Linked DNA regions of Xenopus tropicalis. The protein of the gene in region 2 binds, or shares a complex with, the protein of the main gene of each other region. Links are inferred from orthologs where the notes say so. Each region holds a gene or a part of one and is shown on either strand. Other genes may lie near its edges. The genes, in order: prkab1 and prkaa1.

Region 1 (4,565 bases), about 45 Mb from region 2:
AATTGCTTCCTGCCCAAAGTATTATTCATACTTTTACTGCATCCTGCCTTGCTTGTCCTCCATTCTTTCATACAGCAGATTTAAGCTGCTGATTTGTCCCCTTCAGACTGAGCCAGCAACTTATCTGCCTGTGTATGGGCCTCACTAACCAATATCTGGCTTAAAATCGGGCAGGTTAAAACATTGAGGCAGGTTCAAACAAGTTGAGGCAAGGATCGCATAATCCTTACAGACATAGATAGTTGTGCAGAGCTGCAGGAGTTTGCCTGGGGTGCAGTGGCAGACAGTCACATGGAGCCGAGCTAAAGATTATATAAATATCTAGAAAACAGCTGGGAATTAAATGAAATATCAGATATGCTCAGAGAAGCACTAAGGAACCATGTGTCTCTATAAGACTCTAATATCCTCAATTAACAGGAGTACTGAAATACCACTTGACTGACAAATATGAGTAAAGGTTGTTTCTATTCCTGCAGTACATGCTCACTGTGATCTATGGGAACAAACCTAAATACTTTTGGTCTATAATAAAGTCTTCAGCAGAATAAACCAACTGATACAGCCATGCCCATATTTATGTATTTACTTAACATTTCTCCCAATGATCACTATTCAAGTCCGTAATACCCACTAAATATGGTTTTGACATTTATTGCATGAATTAAGGCACTATCAACTTTCTACACTGTACCCAGGGCAAATGATTTATACAGTACATCTACTTAATAAAAGGCCATGAACTTGTGCCTCTGCTTCGGCTGATGAATATCCATGAGAAGGCCCTATAGGCAGCTGCACAAGGCATGTATACTGAACCTCATGGAAAATCTCTGACATCATGCTGATCCTTGCTAAAAATCAATGGGCACACATGGGTTAAGAATTTCTGGTTAAAGTTAATATAAATATGTAACCAAGAAAAGTAGTTCTGTAAAATACCAGTTCCAGCTCAGTCTTTATCAGCATCTTGTCCCCTATCAGATAGCTGCTCTCCGTTATTTACTTTCTCTACACCACATAGTCCCAAGCTGCAGGCAATCACCATTCATTTTTATTTTATCTTTTACTTACATAGCACTGACACATTTACACAAAGCTTTACATAGCTTGCTAATTGCTCACGTCAGTTCCTGCTCCACTGGAGCTTACAATCTAACTTTCCTACCACTTTTACACCCAGCAGGTTCAATGTCACCAGGAGCACATTAACCTGACTGTATAAAGAAACTGGAGCACCCGCCCATGTCGGAATCAAACTCAGGAACTCTGAGAGGCCAGGCTGCATAGCTAACCACTGAGCTACCAAAGAAGAAGCCTTACCCCATTCTAATGTTACCCATCAACCTCTCTTCATTTTACTAAGCAACTAAGAAACAGAATAGCAATGTCTGGTTAAAGAATTCAATGAAAGCCTATAGTGTGGGGACATGATGGTTAAATAAAGGTGCTACACAGAATCCCCAATTTACTTGATGAAGTGTTGGGTGCAGACAGTAAAACTTCTCTGCCAAGGATGGACAAATACTGGATTGTTTATTATTGGTTTATGTAGTTTGGTTACACCTCCACCCGCTCTTAATTCATGCAGTGGACTTAGTACTTAGTGTGTTGTTACACACCCATATACTATTCATTCTCTACAGAAAATGTTTTTTAGTAGTACCAGCAGCAGCAAGACTACAGTGCGTGGAGACACAGAGGAAAAAAGGGAAAGTTGTGTTCACCACTAAATTTTAAAACATTTATTGGGCGTGCAATGAGGCTGTAAACACAAGATTCATACAGGAGGTATCTTTACCTGGAATATACAGTCAAACAATTCCTGTTTTTTCTTTAAGAAGAGGACATTATTTAATAGTTTAATGCACATAATGTCCTAATGTCCATCATATATATTTATATTTGAATACTGGGTGAGCGCAGAGGACCTCTTGTCTCAGGAGAAAGACAGGTCACTGGAAATGTATACTCATGTATTCATGTAACGCCTAAATGCACCATGCATCTACAGCCAGGTCAGCGGTGCCACTGGGTGCAGCCAGCAGAGGAGCTATTTCTCAGCCTGTGCATATACACATTTTACATACATGACTTGTTGCTTTTACTACACCTGTTCACATGATGCTTGCTCAACTTTTCTGCTCCTGGCTATTAACCCTTTCTGAGGGCCTGGGGCATATGCAACTCAACCCAGTTCCCAGAGCATTACTTGTTAATGATCTGCCTTATAACTCTCTAAGACATAATGGGGCTCATTTAAAGTCAATGGGGAGATTTGCACATGGGCAGTAACCCATAGCAACTAATCAGCAATTTTATTTTTCAAGTCTGAAAGTAGAATTCTTACTGGTTGCCACGGTGCAAATTGGCCCTGTGTTTATACAAATTTGCCCCAATCAGAGAAGAGAATATCACTACTGTGATGTACCCTTTTCACCACTGCTGGGCGGTACTGTGCAACTCTTTTTGAATTTCCTTTTGCCATTTATGTGGACAAGAAGAGAGACAAGATACTGGGTGACAGAACCAATAGCAACAGGCTGGTGTAGGAAGCAATTACACTTTAGTATTAAAAGATTGTATCATGGTCACTTTATGAGTGAAAACTTGTTGATCTGACATAGGTCGGACTAAGCCTAAACTTGTCCTGTACTAATCCAGGACGATGTTTCGCAGGGACATGGCTGCAGGACGAGCCGCTTCTCTACCTTACTCTCCTCCGCAGGGAACATATCCGCATCCTCAGGACTGTCCATCAGTATTTTGGCTCTGTCATCCCCTTTCGACACTGCTCCGGTGCTATCTCTTCGCACCTTGTGGGGACCGGGACGTTCACTGCTTGTGTTCCCCATATTCCACACTTTACGAGCAGGTATCGCTCTTTAAACCTCCAGAAAGGACTTTGTTTATCACGCCGCTTCCGCTTCCTGCTGCGGATGTGACGATATTGCGTTCAAAGACTCGTTGTCGCACATGACGTTCGATCTGTTTTTTTCCATTACTCCTTTTCCAGCTATCTGTCAGTGATATCAGTGACAATAAAGGGATAGGTGCCAATTAATATCTGCGTATAGTTGGAATTGGAATTCCTCTACTGGGGTCGTTGTTTGCAGATGTAGGAAAAGTATACAATATTAAAAAGGGTTATAAGAATATTGACACTGCTATGAGATTGAGAGGTTGGGTAGTAAAAAGCTGCACTATATCTAATTAATTGCATATAGCAATCAACCAGCAAGTAGCCTGTTTAAAAACAAAAATCTTATTGGTTGCTATGGGTTACTGCATAATGTCAAATGATTATTATTATTATTAATAATAATTAAACTAAAACTACAGTTTAAACAGTTGTAGGAGAAAAGTAAGAAAGACTTCATGACACCAACAGTGCCACTGCCAAATGTATCTGTACTTCCATAGCAGCTCCTGGGGTGCAAAGCTGTGTAGCAGGGCTAGTGCCTGCACATTTGCACATTTTTGGTTTTCTAACTTATAACTAACAGTAACATGCACACTGGGCCAGTAGTAGACCATGCACATGCTCCTGGATCTGATACTTGTACAGGTGATTAGATGATCAGATACATTTGGGGCTGTGGGGGAGGTGGAGTTAGTGTAGCACTGTATCAAAGGCTTAAAAGTTGCCTGGGGGGGAAGTAGTTCCCTTTTAAAACGAGGAGTCTGGAGTCTGGGTCTCTTTTTGGCATTTTACTGCCAATAGATTTGCCACATTAGCATACCTCCCAACATCTTGAGACCAGAAAGAGGGACACTGCTCACAGTGCGGCAAATCTTTTTGAACACACCCATTTTTGCAACCACACCCCCTAAATACCACTCCCATTTTATTACATTTGGCATGCCCATTTTACTATTCAAAGTTAACACATTTCTGGGGGTTTTGGGGTCTATTTTTATGTATTATTACAGTTTTGCTGAAAAAGGTGAAGTTGCCCTTTAAGCAGCAAGTCTCAGTTCCCCCAAGAGACCTGTTTAGCTTATTAGTTTCAATGGTATCTCAGTGCAGGGTGGGGGGGCTTTTTACTTTTCTGGGCTCTTTGTCAAAAGTCATTTTTTAATTAAATTTGTATCATTTTTAGCTTCGGTGCAGTAGATCAAAGGGAAACGAGGGACTTTTCAGTAAGAATCCAGGACTGCGGGTTGAGCTGTCAAAAGAGGGACTGTCCCGCAAAAAACTTGGTACAGATAACTAACTTCTAATGCAATTTGTACCTGGTCTTCATATTTTATTTGCTTTTTGTTTATTTTTTTTATTAATTTTTAGTTTTGTAACCTTAGGGCATGGAATTTATCTAGGTACTAAGGCTTAATTACACTGGCATAATGTTTGAATATAATAAATACATATATACATAGAGCCCCATCATGAAATCTTAGTTTGCAGATTAGTACTAGACTGACACTGTATTTAACTCAACCTATGGCAGGAACATTTTGGTAATGTTTTCTATGCTGGTAATGTTTTTCTATACTGCATTTGCTGTCAAGCAGTGACACCTTGTGATATTTCTAAAATAATATACACTGCTGCTTTGTGGCTT
Region 2 (3,038 bases):
TGATGGTGAATTCCTACGAACCAGCTGCGGTTCCCCTAATTACGCTGCTCCGGAAGTTATCTCAGGAAGGTATGTAGTAAACCTCAGTGAGGCTTAATGTAATAAATATGGGACGGGCACTGTAGCAGCAGTATCCGCCTGTTAGAAATGAATCTCTGAATCACCTAAGTAAGCAAACTCCTTATCGTTTATTGGTCTGTTCCTTTGGGCAGTGTGTATGGCATTTGGAGTGTGTTTGCGGGTAGGATTCAGGAACATGGTGAAAACCTCTTTTTATTGGCTATAATGTATATGTAATGTTTGTTTTGGTTTTTTTTGTACTGTGCCTGGGCATAAAACATGCAGGACAACTGGGCCTTTTTTTTTAAATGTAAACTTCAGAAAATAAATGTTTTTTTTTCTTTTTCTGGCCCTGTGGAATCCCTGGAGGCACTGGGGTTTTTATTGAAGTCTCTGAAAATTCTAACTTGTAAAGAGTTTCCCTCTATTCTAGCTATCTTGGCCAGAATGAGCTATGGTTGGAATGGTGCCTAAACTCCAGTTGTCCCCAAAAGGGCTCATCTGCCAACAGACCCAGGCCCACCACAGCTAACCCATTGCCGCCACCTTCCTACTCAGTAAGTCAGATTGTACTAAATAGGCATTGAACCTCTCCATGTGTTGTTGCAGGCTTTATGCTGGCCCAGAGGTGGACATATGGAGCTGCGGGGTCATCCTGTATGCGTTACTCTGTGGAACTCTCCCTTTTGATGATGATCATGTGCCAACACTTTTTAAGAAGATATGTGATGGCATCTTCTACACACCCCAGTACCTGAACCCTCCCGTCATTAGCCTTCTAAAGCACATGCTGCTGGTGGATCCCATGAAAAGGGCAACCATCAAAGATATTCGGTAAGTTCTTGAACTGTTAAAAACCACTTAAAGGTATGCTGTCATGATGTTGTTAAATTACACTTATTTACATGGCAAATAATTCACTATACCATTTAAAGGAGAAGGAAAGGCAAAAGTCACTTAAATCGCCCACCTTTTACCCCGGGCTGGTGCCCCTGCTCGGAGAGAACAGCAACAGCCCGGGGCAGGTGCAGCGCTTCCTCCTTCCTTTTCGCTTGCGCGCGCATGCTCAGTAGGGTGAATAGTGGAACTTTAACAGAGAAGTCGGCTTTTTACTCTAATGCACATGCTCCGGGAATTTGCCAGCAAAACGAAGGAGGAAGCGCTCGCTACAGGTACCCCGGGCTGGTGCTGTTTTCTCCAAACAGGGACACCAGCCGGGGGTACAAGGTAAGCGATTAAAGTCACTTGGGGGTGCCTAACATTTTGGAACCCCAAGTGATTTGCCTTTTATTGTGCCTGAGTCTGAGCTTTCAGAAGGAGCCAGTGCTCCATGTTAGAACTGCTTTCAGGTAACCTATTGTTTCTCCTACTCCCATGTAAATAGAGGAGTCCCAAGCCGGAGTCTATGCTTAACGGTGCATTACTGTAAAACAAAAGTAAAAAACTAGATTTATTTAATATTCTTGTATTCCTAAACTGATACTCTGCCTCTTAGGGAACATGAATGGTTCAAGCTAGATCTTCCTAAATATCTGTTTCCCGAGGATCCATCGTACAGTTCCAATATGATAGACGACGAAGCCTTAAAAGAAGTGTGTGAGAAGTGCGAGTGCTTGGAGGAGGAAGTGCTGAGCTGCTTGTACAGTCGCAACCACCAGGACCCGTTGGCAGTCGCCTACCATCTGATCATAGATAATCGCCGCATAATGAATGAGGCCAAAGACTTCTATTTGGCTACCAGCCCTCCGGATTCCTTTATGGAAGAGCCTCAAGTTGCTCGGCCTCACCCAGAGAGAGTTCCCTTTTTAGTGGCCGAGTCACCCCGGCAACGACACACTCTCGATGAGTTAAACCCACAAAAGACCAAACACCAGGTTGGTGTGAGAAGAGCCAAATGGCATTTAGGCATTCGAAGTCAGAGCCGCCCAAACGATATCATGGCAGAGGTTTGCCGAGCAATGAAACAGCTGGGCTATGAGTGGAAGGTAAGCTCTTGCACTTGGGTTTCTTTCTGCAAGCTTTTACTAACACTGTAAGGGAAGAGGTGCCGTGGGCCCAGTGTCGGACTGGGAACCCAGGGGCCCATTGGAAAACCTAAGACCATGGGCCCAATCTCTGAACAGTTTTTCCTCCTTTTCTCAATAAACCACTTTATTCTCCTAGTCTCTCTTATTTACATGCTAGCATCTATTCTTCCATCTATTTCTCCTCTTTGTTCCCATTCAGAAATAGGTAATGACCATGAAACAGGCCAAATGACCAGAAGCAGGAGGGCCCACTGACCCCTGGGCCCACCGGGAGTTTTCCTGGTATGCTGGTGGGCCAGTCCAACACTGCGTGGGCCCCCATTCATGGGATGGATAAGTCCATTTAAAGGAACAGTAACTCGAAAAAAATGATAGTGTTTTAAAGTAATTATAATAAAGTGTACCTCTGCCCTGCACAGCTAGAATGGGTGTGTTAGCTTCAGAATCACTACTATAATATATATAAGCAAGCTGCTGTGTAGCAATGGAGGCAATTGAAATAGGGATTAATGGTGCAGGTTAATTAGCAGGTTACAGATTAGGTCTGTGAAATATAATATAGTGTTCTACAGAGCTTATCTGCTATATAACATGAGCCTTTTCCCCTATGAATGGCTACCTTCATAGCTACACAGCAGCTTATGTATATAAACTATAGAAGTGTTTCTGTAGCAAACACTCCCATGTTACCAGTGTTGGGGCAACAGTACAATATATTTTATAATTACATTAAACCACTTATTTTTTGGTGTTACTGTTCCTTTAAGTCTGTAGCGACAGATTCATAACTGCATTGATCCATGTGCAAGGGACTACATTTGATCCATGTGCAAGAGACTAATTTCCCTTATTATTTTTCCCATATTGAGGTTGTAAATCCATACTACCTGCGCGTAAGAAGGAAGAATCCCGTTACTAGCATGTACACTAAGATGAGCCTCCAGCTGTACC

What was found.
Region 1: the proteins of prkaa1 (region 2) and prkab1 are in contact, whole or in part, in a crystal structure (PDB 6C9H), measured with the Homo sapiens proteins. The link is inferred for Xenopus tropicalis from reciprocal best matches to the Homo sapiens genes PRKAA1 and PRKAB1. Residues at the interface, in NP_006242.5 of Homo sapiens: Gly20, Val22, Lys23, Ile24, Thr32, Lys40, Lys42, Asn59, Arg60, Ile63, Arg64, Val69, Ile72, Arg73, Ile76, Gln77, Val93, Ser95, Thr96, Pro97, Ser98, Asp99, Ile100, Phe101, Met145, Met175, Ser176, Asp177, Gly178, Glu179; in NP_006244.2 of Homo sapiens: Pro79, Val81, Arg83, Leu103, Pro104, Thr106, Val113, Ile115, Asp159, Phe160, Glu161, Val162, Phe163, Ala165, Leu166, Met167, Val168, Asp169, Ser170, Gln171, Arg201, Ala202, Pro203, Pro204, Ile205, Leu206, Pro207, Pro208, His209, Leu210.

Annotation. Positions count from the first base shown.
Region 1 is NC_030677.2:151,375,007-151,379,571, reverse strand, and holds the start of prkab1 (5'-AMP-activated protein kinase subunit beta-1), read right to left. Parts: upstream 2,952-4,565; 5' UTR 2,856-2,951; coding exon 2,712-2,855; intron 1-2,711. UniProt on the Homo sapiens protein: Non-catalytic subunit of AMP-activated protein kinase (AMPK), an energy sensor protein kinase that plays a key role in regulating cellular energy metabolism.
Region 2 is NC_030677.2:195,921,046-195,924,083, forward strand, and holds part of prkaa1 (5'-AMP-activated protein kinase catalytic subunit alpha-1), read left to right. Parts: coding exon 1-69; intron 70-669; coding exon 670-894; intron 895-1,555; coding exon 1,556-2,045; intron 2,046-2,956; coding exon 2,957-3,038. UniProt on the Homo sapiens protein: Catalytic subunit of AMP-activated protein kinase (AMPK), an energy sensor protein kinase that plays a key role in regulating cellular energy metabolism.